4 linked regions of the Arabidopsis thaliana genome follow. The protein of the gene in region 1 purifies or fractionates together with the protein of each later gene. This does not show direct contact. Each region holds a gene or a part of one and is shown in the gene's direction. Other genes may lie near its edges.

Region 1 (6,803 bases):
GAACTATTGTGAGTTCTCGTTACATGTACGGGTATGCCTGCCATAAGTGGTTTGTTCAAAAGAGAGTTAATAGCCACTAATAATCTCAAAAGAAAGTGGTCATCTCACGTTCCAGAAAGTATTCAAGGACAGACATCATTTTCTCAGAAAGACACCAAAAACGTTTTTAATGTTGTAACTCGGCTATGGTGAAGTAAGAAAAGATCATAGGAAACACAGAACGAACCATGATTGTGCTCTAGTATGTTATAATTTATGATAATAAGCTAAAAAATGGGAATAGTCTGTTTCCTTTGATTCAAAATCTTCACTTATCCACTTTCCTGTGATGGAACAAATAATTACTCTGGTTCAGGGTTGACAGTAATGAACACTTTGACTAGTTTTGTGAACTCTACTTTTGAAACATGCAGCTACTCTTTTTGTTGACATGTAATTTTTTCTGAACAAGAAGATTAATGTAGAAACTCCCCTACCTTGATTGGCTTGAGTGTGACTAGCATTGCCCGAGGCAGAACTATTTACATGATTACCAGTATCATGTACATGATTACCAGTATCATTGCCATTTAGCGACCACGCAGCTAGAGTTGCTCTGGTTGTTAAAGAAGGAACCACTCCTACCCTTGTTCTGCAAAAGTTAAAATCAAATAAAAACTTTGACAAGAAGGGTAAAATTTACAACTGCAAATAGAAAAGACAGTTAGTAGTATGTATGTTATAAACTGTTTTAACGCGATAAAATGCAACATCTTTCAACAGAAACCAATCCAAATGCAGAATTCACTAAACGAGTACATTGTCAGGCATACTCCAAACCAGTCTCTATTCTCAAGATCAAAGAAGCTGTAGCCAAAGAAATCGGTGAAACACACTGGTTGCAAATAATCTTTCCAACTGAAGAGACATACATCATGACACAAATTTCGAATATGAAGTGAGGGGGAGAAACAAAAGCTGGAGAAATATCGAATTTTGAACAATGTAAACCAATCTTTGAATAAATCTAACCTTTTTCCTCTTGGAGGTTTGTTTACTTCAACAACCAGACGCTTTCGTGCTTCTTCTAGTTCTTCAACCATCCCTCCTAAAACTTCTACAATCTCAGGTACTAGCATTAAAAGCCCATGCCGAACTTGTACACTAGATACAACAATCTGCATTTAGCTGTTCTAGTCAGTACTTGTACTAAAAACACAGACATGTATAAATAATCTTAAAGGCTGTACAATGGCCTTAGAACAAATATTCATACAATTTTCACAACTACAATCCTCAACAAGAAACACACACCTTTAAACCAGCAGGAGCCAAGACTTGAAGATCTTTAATAGGCCTGTATTCCATACCAAAAACGCGTTGAACACCATCTGTCATAGACAGCTTAAGGCACCTCTTAAGCCCTGCATTAGCATTCTCATACCTCCCTTTGAGTGGGCAGCCAATGTTAACAATCTCATCAACCTAAATTTGAAAAATTTAAGCAAAAATGTTCAGCCAAAATCACACATTGCGCAATTATATATACAGTGTAAAAACCAAACAATCAAATAACCTGCAGAACAAACGGACCAGCGAGTTCTATACGATTCATAGACGCAACGTTCGGAGGAAGAACACCACCTCCGCATAAATTCATATCGAAAAACATAAACTGCTCGAAGCAATGCTTAGCTTTAGCTGCAACATCGAGGTAGGAAAATTGTGGAATTGAAGTTTCAAGTCCTGAAAGACAAGATACCCACCACTCCCTCTTCAATTTAATCCCCATTCGAGAAAGAACCTCACTGATCGGCGATTCATAGTCATTGCCGCTCACTGACTCCGACGGATAAACCGGATACGGTGTAGGAATACTAGAATCCGGCGGTGTAGGCTGGGGATTACCAAAAACGTCGATAATCTCAACTTCCGATATAGCGATTCTCTCACCGGGATTAGGGTTAGAATTCGACGATACTGAGGTTTCCGGTTGTATAGATGAAGCAATACCAAAGCTCTGAACAGAATCACCAACTCCGCTTGTTCCAGTTTCATCTTCTTCTTCTTCGTCGGAGGAGTACCGGAGTTGCAGGCGCCGTCTACGCATTTCTTCGCCGGCGAAATTTAGGGAATTTTATTGGTTTTCCCTCCAAAATCAATTTTCTATTTTGCTTTTTTTTTTGAAAAAGTTTGTTTAGAAGCCAGAACGCAATTGGGCTCATTAGGAGGAAAATGGGGCCTGTTATAAAATTGGGCCGAGTTTTGTTGTATGTATGTATATGTGTATGTATATAAATTTGGGTTTAGTTTTGCCGCGAGCTGAATTTGGTGAAAATATTTGGGGGTGACGAAAAGAGCCCGCCTTTGTGTTCTAATTTTTGGTACCAGAATTTTTGAAAATCCCCAAATTTTTTTGTTTCTCTTCTTCATAATCGTTGAATTAGGGTTTTACAATTTCGAGTTTCCCCAAATCTGAAATTTGAGTTTTTTTTTTTCTTGACTTTTCACGTTTTGATTCGCCTGTTGTTTGGGTTTGAAATGGCGACTGAAACCCTAGATGAGAAGACACCGGAAGTGAATTCTCCGGCGAAGGAGGAAATTGATGTTGTTCCGAAGGAGGAGAAGGAGGTAGAGAAAGAAAAAGTGGATTCGCCGAGAATTGGCGAAGCGGAGGAGGAGAAGAAGGAAGATGAAGAAGAGGGTGAAGCGAAAGAAGGAGAATTGGGTGAGAAAGATAAAGAAGACGATGTAGAAAGTGAGGAGGAAGAAGAAGAAGAAGAAGGAAGTGGAAGTAAGAAATCGTCGGAGAAGGAAACGGTGACTCCGACTAGTGAGAGACCAACGAGGGAGAGAAAGAAGGTTGAGCGTTTCTCGTTGTCGACTCCTATGCGGGCTCCACCGAGCAAGTCCGTTTCAATTGAAAAGGTAGCTTGATGGAACTTTTGTTTGTCTTTCTTATTTGTCTTTATGAGAATTGGATCAATTAGTTATGGTTTTTTGTTGTAGGGTCGTGGAACACCTCTCAGAGAAATTCCAAATGGTATGTATGAGAATCAATTTCGATTTGTGGTTGTTTTGATTGAAGTCTTGTGAATTTGTGATGTGTAGATCTAATTGTTGTTAATCAGAACGATGAACAATCTTGGCTGGTTGGCACATCTTAGATCTAGAAGATGAGATAGCTATTGTGAGATTTTTCCTGTCTGTGTTGGCATGATTATAGATAGAACCATTTCATTAGAAAAGCTTGGGCTTTTGGTCTACTTGGATACTATTACTTCTACCAATTTGATACCTATAGTCTGACTTTCTGATGGAATATCACTATTAGTCTATTAACTTGCTGTCTGTGATTTGCTTAATTTTGCTGTGGAGAAATACTCATACTCTGCACTGTTGTTGATAAGAAGATGAGATTTTTTTTTTCTTTCTTTCTTTCTCTTGTTTGTTTGTTTAGCTTGAGGGTGAAAATTTTAGTTATTTTGATAAAGACTTGTTTACATTTATTTTTGATTAGAAAGTTGTCTGATAATTTTTGCTGTTTCAGTGGCTCATAAACTATCGAAGAGAAAAGCTGATGACAACCTGATGTTACTACACACCATTCTTTTTGGGAAGAAAGCAAAGGTGCGCTAAAAGTTGCTCTTATATTCCACATATGGTAGTTATGTTTCACTTGCAAGCTTCTGTCTCTGTTAGTATGGATGTCGTCTCGGAATTTTCATTGTTTCTTTGCCAGAGTGCATAGCTACTTAAAAAGCGTTTTGTGAAAATTTCTCTACAGGCACAGATGGTTAAGAGAAACATTGGTCAATTTTCTGGCTTTGCCTGGTCAGAGAAAGAGGTATAACCCATTTCAAGTTTATTTTGTTACAGGGATGTGTATGCTGTTGTCCCTGGTGTTGAAACTTTTATTTAAATGTTTCTTAGGAGGAGAAGCAGAGAGCACGAATAAAAGAGAAGATTGACAAATGCGTAAAAGAAAAATTGATTGTTTTTTGTGATGTGCTTGATATCCCTATAAGCAGAAGTAACGTGAAAAAAGTAAGTGATAAGAAGATGTAGTCTATCTATTTATTGCACCTTGTTCTATATTCTAAGAAATCCTCTATCCTGATACTGCCAGGAAGAACTAGCTGTCAAAGTGCTTGAATTTTTGGAATCTCCCAAGGAAACTAGAGATGTTATAATTGCTGATCAAGAAAAGGTATTATTGGAATCAGTACATTATTGTTCTACATGTTCATTCTCAATGGGAGCACTGAATTCATTTTTAGCAGGCGAAAAAGCGCAAGAGTACACCAAAAAGGGGGAAATCTGGAGAATCTTCGGACACCCCTGCCAAGGTTTGTACTTTGTTATTATCTCAATTCTCTTATTTGCATTCATTGCCTGCTACTGGCGCCTTTATAGCTTGTTTTTCTTTTATTTTCCTCATATGACTGGTGTGAATTTTGATTTTAAATGTTTGGTTGGATTACCGTCATTCGCATGAATTATTATATGCTTTCTCATCTATGTGACTTGATTTATTAGTTGTTGACCATGGGTTGTACAAATATCCCTGTTTTGTTACTACGCAGAGGAAAAGGCAAACTAAAAAGCGAGATCTTCCATCTGACACGGAAGAAGGCAAGGATGAGGGAGATGCTGACTCTGAAGGAACTAATGATCCTCATGAAGAAGATGATGCAGCGCCAGAGGAAGAAAGTGACCATGAAAAGACTGACACTGACGATGAGAAAGATGAAGTAGAGGTTGAGAAACCATCCAAGAAGAAAAGCTCATCGAAAAAGACTGTAGAGGAGAGTTCAGGGTCCAAAGGTAAGGATAAGCAACCTTCTGCCAAAGGTTCTGCAAGATCTGGGGAAAAGTCCTCCAAACAAATTGCTAAGTCAACTTCATCCCCAGCTAAGAAGCAAAAAGTTGATCACGTTGAGTCTTCTAAAGAGAAAAGCAAGAAACAGCCGAGTAAGCCACAGGCTAAGGGATCTAAAGAGAAAGGTTAGAACCATTCTCAGCTGCTTCTGAGGCTTAGCCTCGTTCGATTTATGTTTTATATGAAATCATCCTATTTGTTTTTGAAGCTGATTATTTATATTTGTTCTCCTCTATCATGGATTGGAAACAGGAAAAGCCACTAAGAAAGGCAAAGCCAAAGCAGAGCCCACCAGAAAAGAGATGCTTGAAGTGGTGTCCAAAATTCTGAAGGAAGTAGACTTCAATACGGTAAGATGGTTTGATTTTCCCAAGTCCAAATACAATGTAATGGTTTAAAAAACTTGAATAGATGTTCTCATACACTTTTTTTTTCTTAATAACAGGCAACACTATCAGATATTCTGCAGAAGCTAAGTATGTTATTGGATTTTGCTTTTATTATCTATTTCGCAATTCAAATGTACAAGGAGCTTTTTGGTAACATATGCTGTTTGTGATAACGTCAGGTGACCATTTTGGTGTCGAGCTGTCGCATAGAAAACCAGAGGTGAAGGATGTTATCACAGAGGCCATAAATGCAATGACTGATGATGAAGAAGAAGATGAAGAGGAAGAAGCTGAGGCAGGAAGTGACAAAGAAAAGGAAGAAGTAAAAGGAGAGGAAGAAGAGGAAAAAGCTGAGGCTGAAAGTGACAAAGAGAAGGAAAAAGAAGAGCCAAAGGATTGAGGTTAAGAGTTTCGTTTTCCTTCGTTCAAAATCTAATGTGAAGGAAAGCAAAACTGACACAACTTTTGTGTGAACCAGAGCAAGTGAAAGTGTGTCGAATCTGTACTTTTGTACTGTGTAATCTCTATAGTCTGACTCTCATTATGTAGTTTTAAGTGTCTTTTACTTGTGTAGCTGTTACCTGTTACCTGTTAGGTTTTCTAATCCTTGTTTTATTTGATAGCCAGATACTTTAGGGAATTTTACTTCTTCTTTTCTTGGGTTTAATTTAAGACATATTCGTATATTTCATTTAATTCTGTTATCTGATTTGTGAGATCATGAAAACGAATGTTGAACTTGAAACTTGAGTGGGTTCAGAAAAACTACTCTGTATTAAAAATCCCAGTGTCACATGATAATGATCCTTCAGTAAAGGTAGACATAGCTTTTTTGCAGTGTGATATGCACAAATACAATCTATATTTTTATGTAAAAGATATATTTCTTTGAAAGTACTTATAAAAATATGTTTTTCATAAAAAAAATTATATGTAATTCTGAAAGTATGTGATATGCACAAGCACAACCTATATTTCCTACATTCAAATTCGGGTTTTTCTTGACGCCAAGTTACATTCAATTATCAATAATAGGGCTAGTTCAACTAATGCTATTTATTTATACAATCCACCCACTACTAAATCTCAATCTCCAAGGATCTTTATATATTAATAAGAAAAGCTACTATCCAAATGCGACCTTGTTCGTGAAGTGTTTGGTTTATAATTTGGTGGCTTAAGACTATAGCCCACCATTGACCCAAAAAAAGAAAGGAAAATTAATAGTAGACTATATAGCTACCAACTCCCTATAATTTACCTTGAAATTAAACCAGCTTTGTATTTTTTTAATAGAAGTCAGGGCTCTACAGTTTCATTTTAAACTTTTTTTTTTGTTATATTACATCCTGCAGGTTAGTTGTAATTTGTAAACGTAATCAACATAATAAAACCATTTACATAGACTGATTAAAGTTGATTCCATTTGATAATATTTAGCTATTTATATATCAATCAACCACCAGCTCTTAAATATATGTATTCAAATTGTTTTGTTGACTCTTTTTGCTACACTTTAAATTTGAATCTAGAATGTTGTCCTGAAACAAAAA
Region 2 (6,125 bases), on another chromosome or scaffold:
CAGTGTAAAATTATCCAACGAAATTGCTGAGAAACTCTTGAGATAGTCCACGATTATTACATCCCTCATCATTGATAGTAAGTTATCAACGTGATCTCTAAGGTAGAAATCTAGGAGAAGTCTCGGTCTTTGTTTCTCCAGCAGTGTCATGCAATCAGTGAAGTGCCTGTTCACGTTAAATAAAAATCAAACCAAAGCACTTATCTGCCAAGTATATATACAAAAAAAGTACTTACCCAGCAAGTAACTTCTTGATGACATCAATTAGATAGTCACATGGCCCAAACGGTTTGATAACGTTTTCCAAATGACTAGCGACTTGCCCGATAGGGTTAACGATTGTATCAACGGCATTCTACAAAAATACAATGAGTTTTAAGTTAAATGTGGGCTACCCATAATAAAATTAAGTGGTCACAAAAATTTATTACGTACTTGAAGTGTGGATTTACTAAATGTAGCCATTGCACAGACTAGTCCAAAGAGAACAATATCTTCTGATGAGATCACCTCCCTATAATTATAATTGTCTACTTCTTTCCAAAGCTGTACAAACTACATTATATAGATAAAATTTAGATAACGAATCACAATTTAATATTAATAAAAAAAACTGTGTTAAAGTTAAGGAGAATTTTTACCCCTTCCGCAGTAACTTGATACTTGCTTTCTAAAAGATTAGAAAGAGACTTAAAGCAGTCAATTTTGAAGCCATATGCCCTTTTTACGTTGCAGTAAGCTATCTGTTCGACACTTCGGTGGGGAAGCTCCCCAAAGTTGCGGGTCTCGAGGGCCACCAATAGTGTAGCCATGTAAGCATCGATAGTTTGGACCTGCCGGGGATATGGTCGGAAAACGATCGCCATTTGGCCACAGTGGTAATGGAGCCAATACTGACGAAGTGCAAGACGGTCTTTTTCGAGTTCGTCCTGCAAAAGAATAGAAGATTAGATGTACAATATGGAATCTTGTTGCGCAAGCAAAGTTTTATAGTCACTTTTCCTTACCGTAGCACTTTCTAAGTCGTTTCTTAGAATGCTGTCTTGTTTGACGAAATTGTTGTTCTTAGTAAGACGCCATTTTTCATCCAAGAGATAACCTTCTCCTAATCTGCCTTGTATTTTTTCAGCTATAACTGTGAACAAACGCATGTCACAGACAATTCCGTCATTCCGGATAAGATCATAGGCAAGTCGAAGGGCTTCAAGTTCCAAATCGTCAGTGAACATCGGGCCAACAGAATTCTCTGCGATATGAAGTAGCCTCAGCACTAGGTTTCGTCCTTCGTAGTTTCGTGAATAAGCTTCCACATCCAAGTCCAATTGATCATCACCCTAAGTAAAGGTCATTAAACAAGATTTTCAACTTAACGATAACAATATGTTCTTCTTCTTTTTTGTTGACAACAATAACCCAATAGATTTTACAGTAAAACGCAACATTGCACGAACTAAACTGAAAAAAAAAAAACTATTTAAAATTACCTCAATATCCATCTTGTTAACCAATAGTTTTTTCAATACTTAGTCTGCAAGAAACACTTAAGAAAGATAAATGAAGTTAAATCTGATTAACAAATTAACTAAGCTAAGTTTCTGCTGCGAAAACAAATTTGTGTGTGTCATAAACAATATTTTTCTACCAAACTCAATGCTCTGTTAATCTAGCTAGTCGATGGATTCTCCAAATTAAAACTGACAAGATTAACTCTAAACGGAGATTACTTCACATGCAAGAAACATTAAAGAAAGTAACACAGATTAACTGTTCCGAGAGAGAAATCTCATTTAATTGCATGAAAAATTAAGTAAGTCTGCTACAAAAACGAATTATGTCACAAAAACAAAATCATTCACCAAAATCAAAAGATTCAATCAAAGAAACTTTGCACGATTTGGAAAGAAAAATAGTTGAAGTTACCTGTTTATCTTGCTAAGCGATAGAATTTCTCCAAATTGAATCTATGACGATTAATAAATTTAAACGACGATTGCTTCCTATTCAAGAAACACAAAGAAAGTTAGAGAAGTGTCCCAACAACACAAATTAACAGTTCTGAGAGATAGATCTCATTTACTAGCATAAAAGATGAAGCTAAGTTTCTACTGCAATATGATTTTACATAACAAATAAACCCATGCATCAAAGTCAAAAGCTTCAATCGAAACATTACATTTACCGCAACTTTGCACGATTTGGGAATAAAGAAGAGTTAAACTGACCTCAGTTCCTCTTTCTAATCGAGAGATTTCGCAAATTGAATCTGTACGAGTATAATTGATTCACTAGTTGAGCTAATCGTCTTGTTCTGTTGCAGATTCTTGAGCGAAAGAATCTTAAGAACTCACACGTACGGTCTTCAGCAATCCCTTCGATGATGTGACTACAGGACCTTCTATCTCTCTTGTATCTCTCTTTCTCTCTGTTACAGATTAATTTTACAGGAGAAAGAAGAAGAAGATGATCAACAAGAAAGAAGACGACTCTCAACTCTGTAACGGATCAATTAGTTTGTTTATATTACTAACTGATATGATCTGGTACGGGCCCTTCCACAGTAACTGAAGCCCACGCGCGTGTACTTCACCTGAGACCACCTAAACTTTTCCCTCTTTGTATAACAAAAGCTTGTTTTTTTTTCCTTACATGAAGACCATTGACCCATGCTAGTCATTTTGGTTGAGTCCGATAGAATTAATGGGCCAGGCCCATGTAGTTAATCTAAGAGCAAAGCCGCATCATCTTCCGTGCGAAATAACCTTAAACCCTAATTTCTCTTATTCTTCTCCGAAACGGAAACTGCATAAATACTCGATTTTCAAATCAATTTTGAAAAAGACGGCTAGGGTTTTTACAGAATTCTCTCTACAATGAAGATTTATCTTCTTTCCGAATCACCCTCCGGCTACGGATTGTTCGAGGGACACGGTTCCGATGAGATTGGACAGAACACGGAGGCGGTTCGGAGCTCCGTCTCGGACCTTAGTCGGTTCGGGCGGGTCGTCCAGCTCACTGCTTTTCACCCGTTCCAGTCTGCACTCGATGCTCTTAACCAAATCAACGCCGTCTCTGAAGGTGAACTCACTACTAAATTACAGCTCTTTCCCTCTTTAGTTTCCTGCACCATATACTTTATTACTTGCTTCTATTATAGTTTATGCTGGAAAGAGCTTAATTCTTAGAAATTGAGCTCTTACTACTGTTGGAATCAGCTTATTCTGTTCTGTTTTAGCTTTTGCTGGAGGTCTTGATAATAAAGTATTAATATTTGTATTGTTTTTACACCTTAAAAATCGTAGGATACATGAGCGATGAGCTGAGAAGTTTTCTGGAGCTGAATCTCCCGAAAGTGAAGGAAGGCAAGAAGCCCAAGTTTAGTTTGGGAGTGTCTGAGCCTAAAATCGGTTCTTGCATTTTTGAAGCTACCAAAATTCCTTGCCAGAGCAATGAGTTTGTCCATGAGCTCCTTAGAGGTGTGCGTCAGCATTTCGATAGGTTCATCAAAGACTTGAAGGTGTGTTTTTTATTTTTGATTACCTAATACCTACACATATTTTTGCTATTCGTGCTCAATATCATCTTCTTTATAATGTAGCCTGGTGATTTGGAAAAAGCTCAACTTGGACTAGCTCATAGCTACAGCAGAGCAAAGGTGAAGTTCAATGTTAACCGGGTGGATAACATGGTTATTCAAGCTATTTTCATGCTTGACACACTTGATAAGGATATCAATTCCTTTGCTATGAGAGTCAGGTTTGTTTTCTTATTGTTTTGCCTTTCAGATTATGTCTTGTCTGTTACCGTAAGAGAAAATGGTTTCTGAGCAGCTCATATTATGTTTTTGCAGAGAATGGTACTCATGGCACTTCCCTGAGCTTGTCAAGATAGTTAATGACAACTACCTCTACGCCAAAGTTTCAAAGATTATCGTCGACAAGTCAAAGTTGTCTGAAGAGCACATCCCTATGCTTACTGAAGCCCTGGGTGATGAAGATAAGGCAAGAGAGGTTATTGAAGCTGGAAAAGCATCTATGGGTAATAAACTGATGTAGCATGTTCGATAAGAATCATGAATCTTTACAATATATCTATTGTTTCTCATGTTCTAAGACATTGTTGTTTTCTCTATTTGAAGGCCAGGATTTATCACCGGTTGATCTGATCAATGTCCAGACCTTTGCTCAGAGAGTTATGGACCTTGCAGATTACAGGAAGAAGCTCTATGATTATCTTGTTACTAAAATGAGTGACATTGCTCCAAATTTGGCGGCCTTGATCGGAGAGATGGTTGGGGCTAGGTTGATTTCACATGCAGGAAGTCTGACAAATCTTGCCAAGTGCCCATCTTCAACCCTCCAGATTCTCGGTGCTGAGAAGGCACTTTTCAGGTGCATTTCAAGCTTTGTTAGTCTTTACAAGTTTAATTACACTGCAGTAACTAACTTTGGTGTTAATTTCAGGGCACTGAAAACACGTGGAAACACACCCAAATATGGTCTAATATTCCATTCATCATTCATCGGGCGTGCATCTGCTAAAAACAAGGGCCGTATTGCTCGTTTCCTTGCAAACAAGTGTTCCATTGCTTCCCGGATTGATTGTTTCTCAGGTAATAATCTAGAGAATGTCCTGAATAAGAGAGAGGTGTTTGGGAGATGATGCGTTGTTATTAACTACAAAATCATGGTGGTTGTGTTATGCAGATAACAGCACTACAGCTTTCGGTGAGAAACTAAGGGAACAAGTAGAGGAAAGACTTGACTTTTATGACAAAGGTGTTGCCCCACGTAAGAATGTTGATGTAATGAAAGAAGTGTTGGAAAATCTTGAGAAGAAAGGTACATATGACCCAACAAAGCTCTCTGATCTGTTGTGGTAAACGGTTTTGTTTGATGGGTTGTTTCTTCTTTTTTTAAGACGAGGGAGAAAAAACAGTGGATGCTTCGGAGAAGAAAAAGAAGAGAAAGACAGAGGAGAAGGAGGAGGAGAAGGAAGAGGAGAAATCAAAGAAAAAGAAAAAGAAAAGCAAAGCAGTAGAAGGAGAGGAATTGACAGCAACAGATAATGGCCATAGCAAGAAGAAGAAGAAAACTAAGTCACAAGATGATGAATAAACAAACAAGTCTGTGTAATACACTAGTTTTTAGTTTTCTTTCTTCTACATAGGGTTTTGACTTTAAGAACAACTTTAAACATAGCGCAAATTAGATAAGGTTTTCTACTTTTGAATTAAGTCTGTCTTAGCCAAATGAAAACAAGCTTGAGTCTCTGTCTTGCGAGTTTATGACTTAAAAACAACTAAAAACATATATAATTATCAGATTTTCTACAATTGAGTCTGTCTTAAACAAAAGAACAAGCTTTTGATTATTTATCAGGTCTGGTTTTTAACTTTTGAAGATGATCAAATTTTTGTTGATGTTGAAATGGATCTTCAAGTATGTATGGATATGTTTTTGCTCAATTCTTTGAAAATGTCGACAAAACAAATTAACATTACAAAAAAGGATTGAAGGAGATGAATCAAACATGTTGTTTTTCTTTATTATCACTAAAATTGCAGAAACCAGAGAATTCTGCTAAAGCATAGCAACAAAAGAGCAAAAGAATCAATCGCAGAGAATGAGTCTAATCATGGCAAGAACCAAACACGAAACAGAGAAGAAGAAGAGCGTCACAAAATCCCTAGCAGACCATTTCTTCACAGGCTTCGACTCAACTCTTAAACTCTTGGCTCTACGAAGCGCATCCACTTCCTTAAGCAAATCAAATTCGATACCTTTCTTCTTCAACTCTTCAACACATTTACGCAACAGCTTCGCATCTTCTTTCTCCCTCTCCAACAACTTCTCAAGATGCGATTCCACTTCAGATTTGTACCGTACCGCCCAAATGATCCCCAAGGAAGATAGCAGAGCGCAGAGTGAAGGGATCCATGATCTTTTACAAGCACTGGAAGAAGCAGAGGAAGATGAGGATGAAGAAGCGTGGAAGAGAAGTAGCAGAGAAATGGAGTGGAAGAGAAAGAAGAAGATGTAGAGCTGAGTGATTTCTCTTCGAACAGAATCGATCTGAGATTCTTTGTGAGAGACACGGCTTAGAATTAGCTCTTCTTCTTTTAACCA
Region 3 (6,208 bases), on another chromosome or scaffold:
GTCAGCACGACTTTCTGCATCTTCCCTAAGGTATTATGGGTTGGGGCTAGAAAATGGAGGGTACACCGTAACACTTCAGTTTGCTGAAGTACAAATTGAAGGTTCTAACTCTTGGAAAGGTATTGGAAGACGACGTTTTAACATTTATGTCCAGGTCTGCACCACTTGATCGAGCTTTCCGGTTCACAAATGTTACTTTTTGGTTCTGATGAATTCTAAGATCTAGCTCCATTTTTCCAGGGAAGACTTGTTGAAAAGGATTTTGATATACGCAGAACAGCTGGTGGCTCTTCGGTTCGAGCAGTTCAGAGAGAATATAAAACAAATGTATCAGAAAATCATCTCGAAGTCCATCTTTTCTGGGCTGGAAAAGGAACATGTTGTATTCCTATCCAAGGGGCTTATGGGCCATTAATAGCGGCCGTCAGTGCGACACCAGGTAACACAAACGGTTGATATATTTTTTTTCCTCTGATTTTCACTATCTCCCGATACTAGTTAGTGCCGTGTCACATATTCTTGTTCAGATTTCACACCAACTGTGGCTAATAGGCCACCATCAAAGGGAAAGAGCAGGACTGGTACTATTGTGGGTGTCATTGTTGGTGTTGGACTTTTGAGCATCTTTGCGGGTGTGGTTATCCTCGTCATTCGAAAAAGAAGAAAACCGTACACAGATGATGAAGGTACAGATGTAATAAGAACATAAACAAGCCCTTGAGCTGAATAACTTTAGCTCTCTGATCAAAATTAAAGTTGACTATCATCTGTTAAATTGGTTGATTTTAAGTAGTGAATTTTTTATGGCAGAGATACTTAGTATGGACGTAAAGCCTTACACCTTTACTTACTCGGAACTTAAGAATGCAACACAAGATTTTGATCTCTCAAACAAGCTTGGAGAGGGAGGGTTTGGGGCTGTTTATAAGGTAAGTCCCTTACTGAATCGAACAAAATAGCTGTATATTTTTCTGAGATACTAGGAAAGAAGGGTACATGTAATACCTTTTAATACGTTTTGTTTTGAATAACACGTTCAACAGGGAAACCTCAATGATGGAAGAGAGGTGGCGGTGAAGCAGTTGTCAATTGGATCACGGCAAGGGAAGGGACAATTTGTTGCAGAAATTATTGCAATTTCTTCAGTTCTACATCGCAACCTAGTAAAACTTTACGGGTGCTGCTTTGAAGGAGATCATCGTTTGCTCGTATATGAGTATCTCCCTAATGGAAGTCTCGATCAGGCATTATTTGGTAATGAACAGAAACATGACTTACCTATCTCTGCTTCTGCCAAGCTAAAGTAATCATTATGCCATTGGGTTGGATGTTACAGGGGATAAGAGTTTGCATCTTGATTGGTCAACCCGTTATGAGATATGTCTGGGAGTAGCCAGAGGTCTAGTTTATCTCCACGAGGAAGCAAGTGTTCGCATAATACACAGAGATGTGAAGGCCAGCAACATTTTACTGGACTCTGAACTGGTCCCAAAAGTTTCTGATTTTGGGCTTGCAAAACTATATGATGACAAGAAAACCCATATTAGTACCAGAGTGGCAGGGACGATGTAAGCAAAATCCATAGACCCTGACATTTTGTTTGCAACACAATTATGGCTTTATAGCTCATGTTAGTTGTATCAATGCAGTGGGTATCTTGCGCCAGAGTATGCCATGCGTGGACATCTAACAGAGAAAACAGATGTGTATGCCTTTGGTGTTGTGGCTCTTGAGCTAGTGAGTGGAAGGAAAAACTCTGATGAGAACCTGGAAGAGGGAAAAAAATATCTTCTTGAATGGGTACGTCTATATTTGTCATATAGGCGAAGTTGAAGATGGTGTGATAAATGACAAAAGCCGATAATCCTTTTGTATTTCTTGTATACAGGCATGGAATCTACACGAGAAAAACCGTGACGTTGAACTAATAGATGATGAGCTAAGTGAATACAACATGGAAGAAGTGAAACGCATGATTGGCATTGCTCTGCTTTGCACTCAGTCATCTTATGCGTTGAGACCACCAATGTCACGAGTAGTAGCCATGTTGTCAGGAGATGCTGAGGTCAATGATGCCACCTCTAAGCCAGGCTACCTAACCGACTGTACATTTGATGACACCACAAGCTCCTCATTCAGCAACTTTCAAACGAAAGACACTAGCTTCTCGACGAGCTTTATAGCGCCTGGCCCGGAGATGCCACTTAGAGACGGCGAATCGAAGCCAATGGTTGGATTCAAGATCAAGGAGGGAAGATGAAGATTGTCCCCTCTATAATTTGATATGCTTGTATATGGAAGTTGACAATTTTCTTCTATATAAGGATGTGGAGAAACAGATTTCACTTTCATTCAATAATAATATTTTAGTTGACAATTTTTCAATTTTTGTAACAAACTTTTGATATCTTGCAAGGATGACCAAAAAAAAAAAAAAAAAAAAAAAAAAAGAAAGTTAACCTGTTGTGATGGGCCGGGCATTTTATAAGCTAGTACAACTAACACACCGTTAAATGGGCCTGGCCCATTGAATTTTTCAAGAGCAGCGCCATCAACAGATGCGCTTATTAAACCCCTGAAACCCTAGTTTCGTTCGTTGTATATTTCTTCTCGCTCAGTAGGTCTTTAGGGTTTTAGTTTCTTCTCCTCAAAAAATGGCGATGTATGTTATCTACGAGTCTTCTTCCGGCTATGGTCTCTTCGAGGTTCACGGACTAGATGAGATCGGACAGAACACTGAGGCGGTTCGGACTTCTGTCTCCGACCTCAGTCGCTTTGGCCGTGTTGTTCAGCTCACAGCGTTTCATCCCTTTGAGTCTGCTCTCGATGCTCTCAACCAAGTCAACGCCGTCTCTGAAGGTCAGACTCTTCATTACTCTCTTCTTATTCTTTGTTCTGTATATTCATGTGTTGTGTTGAGTAGCTTGTTCTTGTATTTAGAGCTAGAGTAGACACTTCGATTTAAAACCTTATAGTTCAAATTTCCTGGATATATTGTAGAAAGAGCTTTAATTTATGGTTGATTCTTGTTTTTGTGTTCTGTTTTTGTTTCATTGTTTTGGTTTTGTCATTGATGCTTTTGGAATTGGTTTTAATGTGATATTGGTAGGTGTTATGACTGATGAGCTTAGAAGTTTTCTGGAGTTGAATCTTCCTAAGGTCAAGGAGGGAAAGAAACCCAAGTTCAGTTTAGGATTGGCTGAGCCTAAACTCGGTTCACATATATTTGAAGCTACTAAAATCCCATGCCAGAGCAATGAGTTTGTTCTTGAGCTTCTCAGAGGTGTTCGCCAGCATTTTGATAGGTTTATCAAGGACTTAAAGGTGTGATCTCCTTTCTATGTGTTTAAAATCTTTTTGTCTGTTTGCTTATCTCATATGGTTTGTGTTCTCATAAAAAATTTCTGTTTATGTAGCCTGGTGATCTTGAAAAATCTCAGCTTGGATTAGCTCACAGCTACAGCAGAGCCAAGGTGAAGTTCAATGTTAACCGAGTGGATAACATGGTTATTCAAGCTATCTTCATGCTTGACACGCTTGATAAGGATATCAATTCCTTTGCCATGAGAGTCAGGTTTGTTTTGTGCTTTTCCCTTTCAGATTGTGTGTTTTCCTCGAGAAAATTGGTAGCTGAACTGTTTATAATGTTATTACAGGGAATGGTATTCGTGGCACTTCCCCGAACTAGTGAAGATAGTCAATGACAACTATCTTTACGCCCGTGTTTCAAAGATGATTGATGACAAGTCAAAGTTGACTGAAGATCACATCCCCATGCTTACTGAAGTCTTAGGGGATGAAGATAAGGCAAAGGAGGTCATCGAAGCTGGAAAAGCATCCATGGGTAAAAATTTTGAGCTGACTTTTTTGGTAGCTTTGAGTTAATGTGTGTTTCTGTTAACTTATGTCCTGAGACATTTACTCTCTTCCCTATTGGCAGGCTCGGATTTATCACCGCTTGACTTAATCAACGTACAGACCTTTGCTCAGAAAGTTATGGACCTTGCTGACTACAGGAAGAAGCTCTATGATTATCTTGTCACTAAGATGAGCGACATTGCCCCTAATTTGGCTGCTTTGATTGGAGAAATGGTCGGTGCCCGTTTGATTTCACATGCTGGAAGTCTGACTAACCTTGCTAAATGCCCATCTTCCACCCTCCAGATTCTTGGAGCCGAGAAGGCTCTTTTCAGGTGCAATATCTGGCACTATATTTTTAATGTTCACCAGTTTCCTTTTAGTGCTGCTTGTGACATGAACTGCTGTGGTATTTCAGGGCACTTAAAACACGTGGAAACACTCCCAAGTATGGATTGATTTTCCATTCTTCCTTCATTGGCCGAGCATCTGCTAAGAACAAGGGCCGTATCGCTCGTTATCTTGCAAACAAGTGCTCTATAGCATCCCGGATTGATTGTTTTGCTGGTAAAAATCTGAAACTCCTTGAAGAAGAGTTTTGGATTATGAATTCTGTTGTGAAAGTGTTAAATTATGTGCCCTGATGTCCTATGCAGATGGTGCAACTACTGCTTTTGGTGAGAAGCTTCGCGAACAAGTTGAGGAAAGGCTAGAATTTTATGACAAAGGTGTTGCCCCACGCAAGAACGTGGATGTAATGAAGGAGGTGATAGAGAATCTAAAGCAAGGTATTTCTTGTAGCTGTTTTTTTTTGGTTGTAATCAGAGTCCTCTTTATGATGGCAAACTCAGTGTTTTTTTATCTGTTCCTCCTTTAGAAGAGGAAGGGAAGGAGCCAGTTGATGCCTCGGTGAAGAAAAGCAAGAAGAAGAAGGCAAAGGGTGAAGAAGAAGAAGAGGTGGTGGCAATGGAGGAGGACAAGTCAGAGAAAAAGAAGAAGAAAGAGAAGAGGAAGATGGAGACTGCAGAGGAGAACGAGAAATCAGAGAAGAAGAAGACAAAGAAGAGTAAAGCTGGAGGAGAAGAGGAGACTGATGATGGTCACAGCACCAAGAAGAAGAAGAAGAAGTCTAAGAGCGCTGAATAGAAAGGGATGCAACATTAACAAACCCTGTATTGTATTTTTTTTTTGAGCTAAATTAATGTCGTCTGTTTTTCGTAGTGAACATCGGAGAATTTTTGTTTTGGTCTGGAAACGATTCAAGGTTTGGCAATATCTTAAGTTTGTTTAGGTTTTCACTATTTTGACGTTTGCAACCGTGAAGGAGGCTCCTCCATTTTATAAAATACAATTACCAATTCCAGTGCTTTGCAAATGTTTCAATAATAGCTAAACTAACTACCAAATTGGAAAACTAGCTTAACAAGTTTGTGAAAATGAATTTGGAGCCATATGATTTATTATTTTACCCAAATGGAGTAATAGAAGAAGAGCAGCTCGCGTTTGAATGGTCAGTTAACATTAACAAAAGGTAAAATTGAATAGATGTTAAAACTTGTGTAAGTAAACAATAGAGCTACCTCCTTTTGAGAAGGATAGATAAACTCGTGACCAACCACATTCCCAGTCCCATATTCTTAGTACAAATAAGAAATTCACACCCCTCAAAGAAATATAACATAATCAATCATAGGAAATATACTTCGCATAATGACGATAATGATCAAGTTTCTCCTGTTAGCTCTGCTCGTGATCTCTCCGATTTGCGCCGAGAAGGACCTGATGAAAGAGGAATGCCATAATGCACAAGTTCCGACCATTTGCATGCAATGTCTTGAATCCGACCCAACCTCCGTTCATGCAGACCGTGTTGGCATCGCCGAGATCATCATACACTGTCTCGACTCTCGTCTCGATATCATCACCAAGCAAGTTTTCCCTTCTAATAACCATACATATATATTAACTTAGATATATGACAATATTCTCTAACTAATATATCAATCTTTTTATTGTTCTAGTAACATTACAAATATATTGTCACTGGGAGGAGGAACGAAAGAAGTGAGAAAAATCTTGGAGGATTGCAGAAATGACACGTCGACGGTGGCACCTAAACTACTGTCGGAAGCCAAAACAGGTCTGAAAACCGGTGATTACGACAAAGCCGCCAAATCGATAGAGTATGCTAGCATTCCTCATAGCTGTGGATTAAAGCAACCAAGTGTCGAGTTTGAGTTTCTTCAACTGTTTAGTCAAATCAGTATCTATACTCAACTCTCTGATGCTGCCATGAGAATCATTGATCGCTTCTAATTACTCCACCTTTTTATCTCTATGTAACTCAACA
Region 4 (4,443 bases), on another chromosome or scaffold:
AATTATACCGTCTTGACCTAAATTTAACTTCCTCCACAAGCATCTAGCCAAAACAACACCGTCCTCAAGCGCAGCCGAACATCCTTGTCCTAAGAATGGGCCCATTAGGTGCATACTGTCTCCGGCCAACTGTCACGGTGCCACGTCGGAATTTTCCAGACAGAACATCCCAAGGAGCACGGTACCTTAAACGGTTGATATACAAAGAGTCCATATCACAATTCTTCACCATCTCTTTCCACTCTTCTGAGAATTCGCGGACTGATGCTAGTGCCAATCTTGCGATATCCTCTTGATTTTTTAAGAAGTTTGAGTCTATTTATAAAACAAATTATAAATACGTTAGTGCGTTATATGAAAACAATAGAAGTCTATGTATAGTATGAAATGTAGCATGACCGGGTTATTAATTACCTTGGGGACAATTTCGCAAAACAACAAACCAAAAGACGAGTTTGTGAGTTATAGGAAGTCGTCCGCTTACGACGTTGTCCATCTTGATTCTTATAAACTCTTGTCGGAATCCATGGTCGTCCGGGTAATTTGTGAACCCTCTGATGGCCCGCGAACCGAGGTCTTTAGTCGGGTTTAATCCTAGAAATCTAGAGACTACAGAATTTGACCCATCGCAGCCAATCAAAACCTAAATTAAAAGAAAAGTATATTATCAAAATATATAAGACCCATGCATTTCATGCTAAACATGTTGCTTTCAGTGAAAAACAAACAAAACACAAACCATTAAAACCGATCACGACCCATAAATGTCACTGTCGGCTAATATAAAGTATATACTAAAAAAATTCCACTACGGCATCACCTCAATAATTGATCAATAAATATATCTACTGTTGTTAAAACGTGCCTTTGCTTTGATAGCTTCTCCCGTTTTTAACGTGCACAATCGGAAACGATTTTGTTTCGTCGAGCTTAACCGACAAAATATGGCAACCAAGCCGGAGAGTGCCAAGAGGAAGAGCATGAGCCAAAGCTCGAACCAAGTCGTTCCTTAGTACACCTCTTACTTCTCCATAGGATGCTGGTCCAACCGATTCTCTTCGTTTAATACCTTTCTCGATCAAAACATCTCTTATCCTGTTTTAGTACCATACCGGAAATCATTATAACTAGATAAGGTTAGTTAAAATATAAATATTTATATACTTACTGATGAATTGGGAGAGACTTAAGACGAAGCTAGCTTATCGGCGACACCAAGTTGTTGAAGAGCAAGCCAGCCGTTAGTCTGAATACCAAAATGCTGCTCCTTCCGATCTTACAGACTCTGATCTCTCCAACACAACGCTCTTTATGCCCTTCCTTTATAATCATATTTGTATGTTTAGTTAGTCAATAGTTCATGTATATGTTTTCTAATTTAAATTACCTTATAATTGAGAAAATGAGGAGATTATAGTGAACCTGTGAAGAGCAAGGGAAGTTGCAAGACCAGCAATGCCTCCTCCCACGATTACTATGTCCAATTCTTCCATTCTTCTATATTTGTATTTCCTCCAAATTTTATGATCGTTATGTCCTGCAATGTCGTGGACTTATATGTGGGGGTTGAAGCCACATGGCAATATGGCATGTCGTGGTTGTACCTTGACCCGCGTATTTTTCGTTATCTATACATATTCATTCACAGCGATTTTTATTGGTATTTGTCGATTCATATATCAATTAAACTGTGTATCACACAGATCGTTATATGAAACCAATTCTGAAGAGAGAAAAAAAAGAAAAGAAAAATTTAAGCCTTCTTGTGTTAGAATTACTAATTTTAATAATTTATTTAATATTTTTACTGTATTAGTGATTAAATGTATAATTTACTTAATCTTAGAAGTATATATATATATTTAAAACAATTATTTTCTTACACGTTATACAATATTTGTAATTAATTGTATTTATTTATATTAGAAATATATATACCTTTTTCTAAAATAATATATTTTTGTTTTGTCAATTGCCCTTATAATATTAGTAATTCATTGTATGATTTCCTTATAATATTTTTACACATGAAAAAATCTCTAACTAAACATCTTTTCAATAAACTACATGAACTATCAAATTTGTTATAACTTTCAGTTATCCTCCAAAGTCCAAATATTCAAAGTGAATTATTCATGGGTTGGATTTAACAAAAATAATAATTTCGAGGTTGAAATGACAATAGATATTTTTAAAACAAAGGACCAAAGTCGAAATAACAAAACTCATCGGCCGCATTAGGTTTGGTCCTAAATCCCTAAAACCCTAAAAAAACACAATCCCTCTTAGAAACAGAGAGCTTCTCTTCTTTCTCCATTATTCATCACTTTCTTCCCCGAAGATGCGTCCTTTAGACGAGACCGAGACAACCGTCGTCTTCGAGAAGCTCTTCAAATTCGTCGGCAACAACCTCAAGAAGATCGTCGAGAACCCATCAGACGAAGGACCCGAATCTACACCCGGCAGCTACTGCTTCCGCCTCCAGAAAAACAGAGTCTACTACGTCAGCGAAGCCCTCGTGAAGCGAGCCACAAACATCTCCAGGAAAAACCTAGTCTCCTTCGGAACCTGCATCGGGAAATACACTCACGCCGGTAGTTTCCATCTGACGATTATGTCACTCAATATCTTGGCGGCGAATGCTAAACACAAGGTATGGCTTAAACCCACTTCGGAGATGTCGTTTCTTTATGGGAACCATGTCTTGAAAGGTGGATTAGGGAGGATTACTGATAGTATTGTTCCTGGAGATGGTGTTGTTGTGTTCTCGATGTCTGATGTTCCGTTAGGGTTTGGGATTGCTGCGAAGAGTACACAGGATTGTAGGAAATTGGATCCTAATGGTATTGTTGTGCTTCATCAGGCTGATATTGGAGAGTATTTGAGGGGTGAAGATGACCTTTGAAAGTTTAAAGGTTTTGTCTTTGTTGTGTCTTAGTTTGATTCTGCTTGTTGCTTTGAGTTTTAAAGTATGTAGCTGTTACAAGTTTCGTGGAACTTGGTTCTGGATCTATGAAAGTCTCGATTTTTATAAATCTGTTTTTGAGGTGTTTTGTGAGACTCTTGAGTATGTAAAAGCTAAAAAATTTACATTCATATGCGAATTTTCAAATCTGTAACCTGATGATCAAGATTTGTATTGGAGACAGGTTGAGTTTCCTGATATTGCTTTGATTTTTATACTTAAAAGCTTCAAATTCTTCATCAAGCTTGAAACTTTGGAAATTTACATACATATGCTAATTTTCAAATCTGTAACCCTAATGATTCAGATATGTGTTGGAGACAGATTGATTATGCTGATTTTTGAGACAGATTGATTATGCTGATTTTTGAGACAGATTGATTATGCTGATTTTTCTTTGGTTTTATAGTCCAAAAGCTTCAAATTGTTTTCAAGCTTCAAACTTTGGCCTTTGAGTATTAAGGGTATGTGACTGTCACAAATTTTGTGGAACATGGTATTGTATCTATGAAAGTCTCAATTGTTCTCAAACAAGAGTATCGAGAAGCTACAATTGTAAGCTGATGAATCAGTTTTCTGTATGGAAACAGATTGCTTGCTTTGATTTAAAACTTCAAAACTTATTACTGGGCATATAGGTTGTGTACTGCTGCCAAATAATCTGGAGAAGAGATGTTTAAACCAATTAAGTTCTGAAATCTTTCTGAAACAGATTGCATAACTTTTTGGGAAAGATATTGAGGGTGTTCTTTGAATAAATATGTTGTACACTGAAAATTTCCCACATTAAGAGTAGGGGATTGATATTCATCATCTTTTCAAACGTAATCTTGTAAAGTTCAACTTCAACCCAAAGTCTTGGCCTTTGTACGTTTGTTCCTCACTTGGGAATTGGGATGCAAAGCTGTGTTGCAAAATGTTTAGAAATAATATTTACTGTTATATAGTTTTTCTGGTATCATTAGTCACAAAGCCCGTCTAGCTCAGTTGGTAGAGCGCAAGGCTCTTAACCTTGTGGTCGTGGGTTCGAGCCCCACGGTGGGCGCTTTGTTTTTGTTTTTTTAATCCAAATTTGATCATATTCTGATTTTAGTTTTGAGTACCTTGACTAGTGACTCTTGAGCATGTGTTTTATGCAAGTTTTAAGATATCCTCGCCTTTAATTACGCTACGTAGAATATGTGAATTAGTATGGTACACCCAAAGAAAGAACACAAATACTTTATATAATAATACAACATCCAAAGTCAAAACCTTACAATACATATGGTACCATTTTGTTCCCCTCTCTCTCTCTTTACTAATCTCTCTACTGAAGACTTTTGTCTCTGTTTGTCGCCTGTCTCCGCCAAAAGCTCTAAGTCTCTAACCATCACGTAGAGTAATTTGTTGTGTCTTCAATCCGTGCAATTAAATCCATGACAAACCGATATCCAGATTATGAGAACAAGTAGTAGCAAGATCCCAAGAACCACCAG

Evidence for each region.
Region 2: the proteins of AT5G63550 (region 1) and AT3G12860 fractionate together in Arabidopsis thaliana (co-fractionation; one large-scale study listed by BioGRID). This does not show direct contact.
Region 3: the proteins of AT5G63550 (region 1) and NOP56 fractionate together in Arabidopsis thaliana (co-fractionation; one large-scale study listed by BioGRID). This does not show direct contact.
Region 4: the proteins of AT5G63550 (region 1) and AT4G15770 fractionate together in Arabidopsis thaliana (co-fractionation; one large-scale study listed by BioGRID). This does not show direct contact.

Annotation. Positions count from the first base shown.
Region 1 is NC_003076.8:25,442,285-25,449,087, forward strand, and holds AT5G63550 (DEK domain-containing chromatin associated protein), read left to right. Parts: upstream 1-2,328; 5' UTR 2,329-2,520; coding exon 2,521-2,907; intron 2,908-2,988; coding exon 2,989-3,022; intron 3,023-3,529; coding exon 3,530-3,609; intron 3,610-3,766; coding exon 3,767-3,826; intron 3,827-3,912; coding exon 3,913-4,026; intron 4,027-4,108; coding exon 4,109-4,189; intron 4,190-4,259; coding exon 4,260-4,328; intron 4,329-4,565; coding exon 4,566-4,986; intron 4,987-5,113; coding exon 5,114-5,211; intron 5,212-5,306; coding exon 5,307-5,337; intron 5,338-5,429; coding exon 5,430-5,650; 3' UTR 5,651-5,888; downstream 5,889-6,803. Other genes in the region: RMI1 (recQ-mediated instability protein (DUF1767)), read right to left, coding at 1-37, 477-631, 799-897, 1,012-1,157, 1,294-1,464, 1,556-2,089. UniProt on the Arabidopsis thaliana protein: Chromatin-associated protein which contributes to the modulation of chromatin structure (such as super-helical structure of DNA) and function.
Region 2 is NC_003074.8:4,088,808-4,094,932, forward strand, and holds AT3G12860 (NOP56-like pre RNA processing ribonucleoprotein), read left to right. Parts: upstream 1-2,759; 5' UTR 2,760-2,870; coding exon 2,871-3,075; intron 3,076-3,299; coding exon 3,300-3,514; intron 3,515-3,595; coding exon 3,596-3,753; intron 3,754-3,847; coding exon 3,848-4,035; intron 4,036-4,135; coding exon 4,136-4,388; intron 4,389-4,460; coding exon 4,461-4,609; intron 4,610-4,703; coding exon 4,704-4,838; intron 4,839-4,917; coding exon 4,918-5,114; 3' UTR 5,115-5,388; downstream 5,389-6,125. Other genes in the region: AT3G12850 (COP9 signalosome complex-related / CSN complex-like protein), read right to left, coding at 61-166, 237-355, 642-929, 1,008-1,334, 1,485-1,496; AT3G12870 (uncharacterized protein), read right to left, coding at 5,610-6,125.
Region 3 is NC_003070.9:20,983,340-20,989,547, reverse strand, and holds NOP56 (NOP56-like pre RNA processing ribonucleoprotein), read left to right. Parts: upstream 1-2,595; 5' UTR 2,596-2,654; coding exon 2,655-2,859; intron 2,860-3,109; coding exon 3,110-3,324; intron 3,325-3,416; coding exon 3,417-3,574; intron 3,575-3,656; coding exon 3,657-3,844; intron 3,845-3,940; coding exon 3,941-4,193; intron 4,194-4,276; coding exon 4,277-4,425; intron 4,426-4,514; coding exon 4,515-4,646; intron 4,647-4,735; coding exon 4,736-5,004; 3' UTR 5,005-5,145; coding exon of another isoform or gene 5,146-5,189; 3' UTR 5,190-5,213; coding exon of another isoform or gene 5,214-5,247; 3' UTR 5,248-5,275; downstream 5,276-6,208. Other genes in the region: AT1G56120 (Leucine-rich repeat transmembrane protein kinase), read left to right, coding at 1-154, 241-439, 528-686, 811-929, 1,044-1,254, 1,337-1,568, 1,650-1,800, 1,889-2,260; AT1G56105 (uncharacterized protein), read right to left, coding at 5,146-5,189, 5,214-5,247, 5,439-5,494, 5,561-5,637, 5,666-5,811; AT1G56100 (Plant invertase/pectin methylesterase inhibitor superfamily protein), read left to right, coding at 5,569-5,790.
Region 4 is NC_003075.7:8,975,719-8,980,161, forward strand, and holds AT4G15770 (RNA binding protein), read left to right. Parts: upstream 1-2,176; 5' UTR 2,177-2,341; coding exon 2,342-2,905; 3' UTR 2,906-3,226; downstream 3,227-4,443. Other genes in the region: AT4G15765 (FAD/NAD(P)-binding oxidoreductase family protein), read right to left, coding at 65-315, 415-643, 897-1,095, 1,255-1,320, 1,423-1,493.